Linked DNA regions of Macaca mulatta. The protein of the gene in region 1 purifies or fractionates together with the protein of each later gene. This does not show direct contact. Links are inferred from orthologs where the notes say so. Each region holds a gene or a part of one and is shown on either strand. Other genes may lie near its edges.

Region 1 (3,804 bases):
CGGAGGAGGGGCGTTAGGTGGGCGCCCAGGGCCACGAGGAGGGGCGTTAGGTGGGCGCCGGCCCGGAGGAGGGGTGTTAGGAGGACGCCCAGGGCCACGAGGAGGGGCGTTAGGTGGGCGCTGGCCCGGAGGAGGGGCGTTAGGTGGGCGCTGGCCCGGAGGAGGGGTGTTAGGTGGGCGCTGGCCCGGAGGAGGGGTGTTAGGCGGGCGCCGGCCCGGGCTGGCACTGCCTCTAAGCACACAGAGGCCTGTTCCTGGGAGAGCCACAGGAAGGATGGGCGGACACCTGAGTGCTTAACGCCTTCCTCCCCCCAGCTGGCCACACCCAGCCCCCCAGCTGGGCCTCTTCACTGTTCAGAGCCGCTCCCCTTCCTGCCTTCTTCCTGCTCCAGGATGAGTCCAACCGATCCTGGGGGTGCACAGCCCTGAAGGTCCCAGGACAAAGCCCCAAGTGGAACCCCACGATGACAGGGACCCTTCTCAGCTCATGGGACGACGGCCCAACCCCCGGGCCCGAGAGGGAAGGAGCGCGGGAGAACACTGACTTGTCTCGCCCCGGCCTCACTTTCACCCGGAAGAGGCCGTACACAGGGCGGTGGTCGGAGGTCTTGATCCCGGGGCAGGAGGAGTAGCTCACGGGACAGATGTCACCCTTGTGGCGGCTTCTGTACAAGACGCGGTCCTTCGGGAAGATTCCGGAGGGAGGAAGTCCAGTTACTCCTGAGGCGCTGTGGGGCGTGGCCCACTCACCTCCCCGCTGTTCTCAAGTGCCCCCCGAGGGAGCCTTCTGGGACCCCCGACACTTATGCCCGTTTTGTTGCCCGGTGTCTGTGGCCAGCTGGACCAGGGCCTGTCCCTCGCCGCTGGAGACCCTGTGAACAGCGGCTGCTCCTACCCTGCCCTGCCTCAGTGGCTTCTTGAGGCATCCAGCAGACATCGGGACGTGCCCAGAGCTGCAGCCATGGGCCTGGCGGAAGGGTGAGTGAGGGTGCAACGGGCAGAGGCTCTGCACGCCAGGGGCGAGGGCATGGCCGGTGCCCTGTGTGCCAGTCGGCTCACCCAGCCTTGAAAACACCCATGGAGAGGGTGCCGTTCTCCACCAAAGGGGACTCGCCACGAGGCCAGGGTGTAGAGCTGAAGTTCAAGTCAAGGCCGTCCAGGTTCAGACCCCTGATGCCAGGCATTGGCTCCCGGCTGTGGGAGGTGCCCGCCCTGGAAGCACTCTGCGCCGGCCACGGGCGGGGCTCACCGTGTATGAGGGTGTCCTCTGCTTGGAGGTGCTGTCGTACGTGTCCTTCCCGATGTCAAACTTGTATGACGGGAGGAAGTGAATGTCCGGCTCCTGAAAGCCCTTGAAGATGGACCCTGCCACAGGATGGGCACCCGGACCGGCTCAGACCAGTTCGTGCCAGCCGTGGCACCCCAGGCCCTCACCTTTCCGCATCTCCCGCCACGCCCACCCCCCTCCCAGGCCCTCACCTTTCCGCATCTCCCGGATGAGCTGGTCATGCTGCAGCAGCGCCGGCACGTCCACCACCAGGCCCTGGCACAGGAGGGTGTCCACGGCCGTGCGCCCGCCGCTCAGGCGGAAGTTGAAGTCTCCAAACCAGAACACCTCATCGAAGCGGGTGGTGACGTCCGCTGTGGCACAGTGGGCCATGCATGGGCACAGGCAAGCAATGGCAGGTCCTTCCCCTTCCCCAGAACACGGCCTGGCAGTGGCTCCCAGGGGAAGTGGGTCTCGGGTGCCAGCCAGAGGGGCTGGGCCCCGATTCGCATTGGGACAGCTCCAGAAGGCACCTGGAGCAGCCTCAGGAGCAGACGGCGCCCATGGCAGGGGATGACCATGTCTCTGCTCCTTTCCACACAGCCGGGGGAGGCGGCAGGGCGGGCAGTGGTGAGGACCAGGACCCAGGCTAGCAGGACACGCTGTGAGTGGACGGGATCCACCCACCCCACTAACCGTGCTAAAGAACCATGAGGGGCTATGCGCTGGGGGCACTTGGACTTTTCGGCCCTCGCTTCCCAGAGCTCAGGACGCTGCCTCTGCAGAGCTGCCGTAAAAACGACGGGCGCCCCGCGTGTGAACCACGGCAGCACCACCCGCATGCAGTGTGGGGGCCCTCACCTGCGCTGGAGCGATAGGGGTTGGTGTCGGGCACGTTTCTGGGCAGGGCCAGGGCTTGCACGGTCCTGGTGTAGTCCAGCAGCCGCTCTGCCACCTTCCCGTCGCCCGCTGTGGGAACAGAAATGGGGTAGGGGTCACAGGGTTCTGGGTCTCCCTCAAGAGCTGCCCCCTGGACCATGCCCTGACTGCGCGCCCCCTGCAGACGCAACCCCACCAGGCATCCGCTGCCAGGCCTGGCCAGGGACATTTCTGCCTCGGAGGACGGAGCGCGGGCCCAGCACGGCATGCCCTCAGTGCCGGGGTCTGCTGGGGGTCCTCAGCGTGCATCTTAGCAAGCATGGTGCCCGCCCCACGGCCCTGGGTGGAAGATGAAGCCAGCAGCCAGGATCCCTGCCCTGGGCAGGGTCCTGGTCAGGAGAGGAAGGCTGTTCTCACGCAGCACCTGCGGCACGGGCACCGAGCGACTTACAGGTGAAGTGGGACGTGATGAAGAGGAAGGAGGTGCCAAAAAAGGTGAAGCTGACGCCCAAGGCCCCCTTGGTCTTGATCTGAGACACGATGCGTGTGGTCACCGTGGAGCACTCCACCTCTGCGGGAGGGGCAGCCCTCAGCTCACCTGCAGGACGCTGCAGGCCGGGGGTCGTGGCCGGACCCGCATGCCAGTGAGGGCTCACTGTGGAGCCCGTGTGTGACATAGCAACCCCCAGATCCCAGACGCAAAGCGTGCCTGTCCTGCCAAGGCCACGGGTCAGTCGTGGAAAGGGGGGCTGCCACCCTCCAGCCGCGCCCACCCCTCCAGCCGCACCCACCTGAGCAGAACCAGATGAGGTCCCGGCGGATAAAGAGCGACATGTAGAGCACGCCGTGGGCCGCCGAGGACAGCAGCACGTAGTGCGGGCCCAGCGTCTCCTGCAGACGCGTCTCCCACTCCCGCCTGCAGAGGAGGAAGCGCGGCCGGCTGGGGGACATGGCCTCCCAGCTCCACCACTCCCAGACCTGCCACCCAGAGCCCCTCGAGGAGCTACCAGGGAAACCCCACGACCTGGCCTCGGAGTCCTGCATGGAGACGCATTTGCCAGAGGCCGTTGTGGGCCAGAGTTGGGACCTGCCGGGGGTCACAGGCCCCAGTTCCACTTGAGTGGCTCCCCTGGATCCCTGCCGAGACCCCAGTGAGCAGAGCTCCTCCTGCCTGCATGGCTCATGGGCCAGGGGAGTGGGGCCCACCTCAGCTTGGGGCCAGGGCTCCTTCTCCCAGAGCACCTGTGTGGGCGGCAGCCACCTGCTGTTCCCACCACAACGTGGGGGCCCCAGGAAGCCTCGGAGCCCGGCCGTGCTCCCTGCTGCCCTTCTACTCTCTCACGTCAACAATTTGTTACCAGAATCCAATCTCATTGATTTTAAACTCTCCAAGTTGCCACCAGAAAAGAAACCGACTCATGTATCCCACCCAGGCGTGGAGGCTGCCCGTGCCCAGCCGCAACCCAGGTCTCAACGCCCACCCGTGCCCAGCCGCAACCCAGGTCTCAATGCCCACCCGTGCCCAGCCGCAACCCAGGTCTCAACGCCCAGCAGCTTCAGACACAGCAGCCCCAGGGCAGGCACTGCAGGGCCTGCGGCCGCCCTACCTGTCAGAGCAGCCCTCCTGGACACCGATGACGTACAGGTCCTGGGCATAG
Region 2 (3,904 bases), on another chromosome or scaffold:
CTATCAACACTGTTGGTGGGAGAACATAATGGTGCTCTTTTTGTAGTGATAAACTATTCTTACAGAAACAGATACTCTGAAAGAAAGTTCGGAAAATCTATTTACCCAATAAAAGGTAGACAATAGTCAGTTTCTTACTAAAACATTAATTTTACTTTTTCCTGAAGGTAGTAGCATATCTTAACATTCCTGCTTTTCTTTTCCCTCTTACTCCACAAATGCCCAATAAAGGCTACCAGAGGATGAGCACGCCACTGCTCTCATGCTAACTTTTTGATGTGGCTGCTTCCCTGGTGCTTCAGGATTTAATCAGCTCAGGTCAAGCTTTCCCCGAAAGCCTGTTTCTGGATGCACTAACATCACTGAATTGGTTGATTCGCTTTTCCTTCTAGTGGGCTGACACAGATTCTGCTTTCTGAAACTCTTTTCCGTATTTGTCTCTTATCCTCTTTCTTAACAGGTTCAAGAGCCAAGACTGAAGGTGAGAAGCTCAAACTTTTCTGCTTTGTTCAAAAGCCATTAAAAAGGTATTTCTTCTTTTCAGCAATATGGTATTTCCAATCAGATGAAAACGTTGCTTCTGAAATCTCTCAGTTCTCCATAGTTTCTGGTTTACTGCTTACACAGCATGTTAAGTAACAATATTATTACATTGTTATATGTTAAGTAATAATACAAATTACTTGAGGGAAAAATAAAATTCATGTCATAGCTTTTCCAGCACTTCAGTCATCCCTATATACCTATATGATCCATTATGGAGAGAAACACAGAAAGGCACATGGAGCTCTAAAGAGGCTGCTACTAAATCACTACATGAAAGTACTGAAACTTTATCCTGAATGGTAGTATGCAAAGGTGATACAGCCTTTAGGTTTTTTTAAAAGCCTAGATCAATTTTCACTTGAAAAATCTCACTTGTACATCCAAAACTTCCTTTTTGCACTGTGGTCTAAAATGTATTACCAACTTGGTTTCTGATTATAGCAAAGCAATTAAATTTTGCAAGGGTGACATGGACATTGTGAAAACACAACAGAATATCAAGAAAACAGTGCTTTACTAAACCTCCAAGGGAGGAGTCCTAAAGCGGTGACTACCTTTTCACTGAGGGAGCAGTTTAAGAACGTTCCGTACTATAGATTACAGACAGGATGTATGCAGAGATTAAAGCCGGCAGGAGAATGGAAAATTTGAATATACAAGTTTGCATTTTTTCATCTGCATCATATGGTGACAGACTAACACACTCCACGAAAACACAAAGCTTCCTTACCACATTAAGGAGAGGCTGCAAGAGCGGCATCACAACAGGCCCGAGGCAATGATTTCTCTACCCCACTATCCTACCGTGGCCCCAGCGACATCACACTATTGCTGGACAGCTCCACCACAGCTAGGCATTAACCGCACCAACAGGAGCGAGCAAAGACACCTCGGCTAGGAGCCCCAGCGCGAGGCACCCCACACCTAAGCCTATGGTCCTCGTGTTGCTGGAAAGGAAACTGAGGCGCTGAGGGGGAAGCAGTGACCAATGCCTCAGAAGACCAAGAGTGTTAAGACGAGGTTGATCTTGGACTTCTCTTTCCCCACCTCCCCCAACTACTCTAGCCCTGGAAGAAGCCACAAGTTTGGAAGAGAAGTTGTGGAAACCAGACGGGGGTGGGGTGCGGTGCGGTGGGGGCCCTGAGAGAGTTTTAAAAGCACTGGTATTTGTCCCACACAAGGTCGCCCGCTCCAAGTCACTGTTCCCCGCTCCTCGGGTAGGCTTATAGCCAAAGAGGCTTCTAGACTTTAAGATCAGCCCACCGCGCCCCCTCAGCCCTTCCCTGCGGGCCGCAGCCCCCTCCCGGCCTCTGGGTCCCGGCCGGGGATTGGAACCCAGCCGGTCTCTCCGATAGCGTTTGCGACGCCCGGCACCTCTCGCAGCCCAGTACCCCAAGCTCTTCCGTCCCCACCCGCCACCCCCTGTGGCTCCCGTCAACGTCCCCTTCCTCCCTCAGGACGCCCCTGGGGGCGCTTCTCGCGCCTGGTCCCGCCGGGTGCACGGCACGCTTTTCCTTTCCTCTCCCCTCCCGCAGCCCTTCTTCCGCGGGGCCCACCTGGCGCGGCCCCCGCCCCCGGCCAGTCTCCTCAGTGAGCGGCCGCCTCCCAAGTCCTCCCGGCCCCGCCCCGCTCCCGGGCGGATACAGTTTGAAGCCCCTCAGGATCTCCCTGGCCCGCTCGTCCTTGGCTGACATGATGCGGCGCTAGCCGCCCGCGGCTTTCTCACTCTGGTCGGCGGAGCCTCGCAGACGGTGCCCAGGAGCCGAGGATGGAGCCGCAGCCCGGCTTGGAGACCTCGGGCGAGCAGCCGCAGCGGCCAGACCAGGACCGGCCTCTCTCTCCCCTCAGCTCCCGCTCCTGATCCCTTCTCCTTCCCCCTAGCCTCGCAGTGCCCCCCTGGAACCAATGGAAAGCCAGCTTTGGTGATTGGCATCCCAACCAGCCAGTAGGAGCGCGCTGCGCCTTCGCAGGGGGACTGTTAACGTCAATGGGAAGGGCCCTCCCCGGGAAGTCCCATAGGACACAATATTCATCTGGTGTTATTGCCTAGAGTTTGTCCCAGCGGAGTGTTGGCTTCGGATCTGCAGAGGCTTTAGGGACCTGCTCCCGCAGCTGAGCACACTAGCCATTCGAGACGGCAGCTGGTTGCACTGTGCTACGCGACAGAGACTACATTTCCCAGCATTCCAGCGGCGCACTCGGGGGACTACAGATCCCAGCGCACCACAAAGAGGTCCGGAGACTACAAATCCCAGCATCCTCTGCACTCGGTTCCTCTGTAACTTAGACTCCAGTGTGCCGCGCAGTGTGCGCAAATTCACAAACCCGCCCGCTGAGTTGGTGGTTTCGGAATCCCGAGACTTGAAACCCAGCGGGAAGACCCTTCTCACCGTCAAAAGAAGATGACAGCCCGCAGAGAGTTAACTTCTGTTTACATGGAACTCAGACATCTTCTGCAAATCATGGTAAGGCTGCTAACAACAAACAAAAACACTGATTAAACCGTGAAAGATAACAAAATGACTTCTTCAAATCGTGCTTGTTGGTCTGAGGCGCCTTTTACGTGTTTTTCAGGGGTTTTTGCTGTATTCCTGCTTTGGACCGGGAGAGCTATGGATTGTATACTCAGAATATCAAAACATAAAGGGACTTTGCTAATCTACCCCGTTGTTACGTATGAGGAAATTGAGGCCCAGAGAGGCGAAGGGATTGGCCACAGATCACAGCAAGTTCGGGCAGAGTTAGAATTCAGCCCTAAGTCGGCTGACTTGCAGTCTGGACTCTTTGCACCACACTAAGGAGGTGATATTTTTAGCAGCATAGCAATGTGAATTATTCTCCTTGAACAGTTTTCCTATCCAGTGTTGAAACACCCAGAATTAGGTAGCATTTATTTGGTGGATTTCTTTCAAGTGAGGGAGTGTGATATTTATTTTCAGCCTAGGTAGGACTTGGTGTTTTGTTTTTTGCCACTCAAGGTGACATTTAATGTGATTTCAGGAAGTAGGTAAAATTGCAGTGTGAGCCACGGTTTCCTTGGAAACCTCCTCTGTCCTTCTCTTGGCCTTCCTTCCTCTGCCTGTCCCCTCTTTCACCCATCTGGGAACTCACCCAATTTTTTCTTCCATGTAATTCAATAAATATCTTTTCAGCCTGTTATTTGTCAGGCACTGAGTGGGTAAAAGGTGAAGGACATGGTCACTGCCACCAGGAAGATAAACATCTATTTAGGGAAATAAGGAGACTCCACTGAGATTCAAGATGGAGTGTGATAAAATGGCATAAAAGAAACGACATCAGAATGCTAAGGAGGCCCTGATGAAAAGGTTAATTGCAGCTGGCAAAACTTTAATGGAGA

The links.
Region 2: the proteins of INPP5E (region 1) and PDE6D purify together in Homo sapiens (affinity purification with mass spectrometry; 3 studies listed by BioGRID and IntAct, with this or other methods). This does not show direct contact. The link is inferred for Macaca mulatta from reciprocal best matches to the Homo sapiens genes INPP5E and PDE6D.

What each region holds. Positions count from the first base shown.
Region 1 is NC_133420.1:6,069,511-6,073,314, reverse strand, and holds part of INPP5E (phosphatidylinositol polyphosphate 5-phosphatase type IV), read right to left. Parts: coding exon 3,754-3,804; intron 3,063-3,753; coding exon 2,938-3,062; intron 2,718-2,937; coding exon 2,586-2,717; intron 2,237-2,585; coding exon 2,129-2,236; intron 1,642-2,128; coding exon 1,480-1,641; intron 1,366-1,479; coding exon 1,250-1,365; intron 683-1,249; coding exon 546-682; intron 1-545. UniProt on the Homo sapiens protein: Phosphatidylinositol (PtdIns) phosphatase that specifically hydrolyzes the 5-phosphate of phosphatidylinositol-3,4,5-trisphosphate (PtdIns(3,4,5)P3), phosphatidylinositol 4,5-bisphosphate (PtdIns(4,5)P2) and phosphatidylinositol 3,5-bisphosphate (PtdIns(3,5)P2).
Region 2 is NC_133417.1:137,046,207-137,050,110, forward strand, and holds the start of PDE6D (retinal rod rhodopsin-sensitive cGMP 3',5'-cyclic phosphodiesterase subunit delta), read right to left. Parts: upstream 2,436-3,904; 5' UTR 2,241-2,435; coding exon 2,191-2,240; intron 1-2,190. UniProt on the Homo sapiens protein: Promotes the release of prenylated target proteins from cellular membranes. Modulates the activity of prenylated or palmitoylated Ras family members by regulating their subcellular location.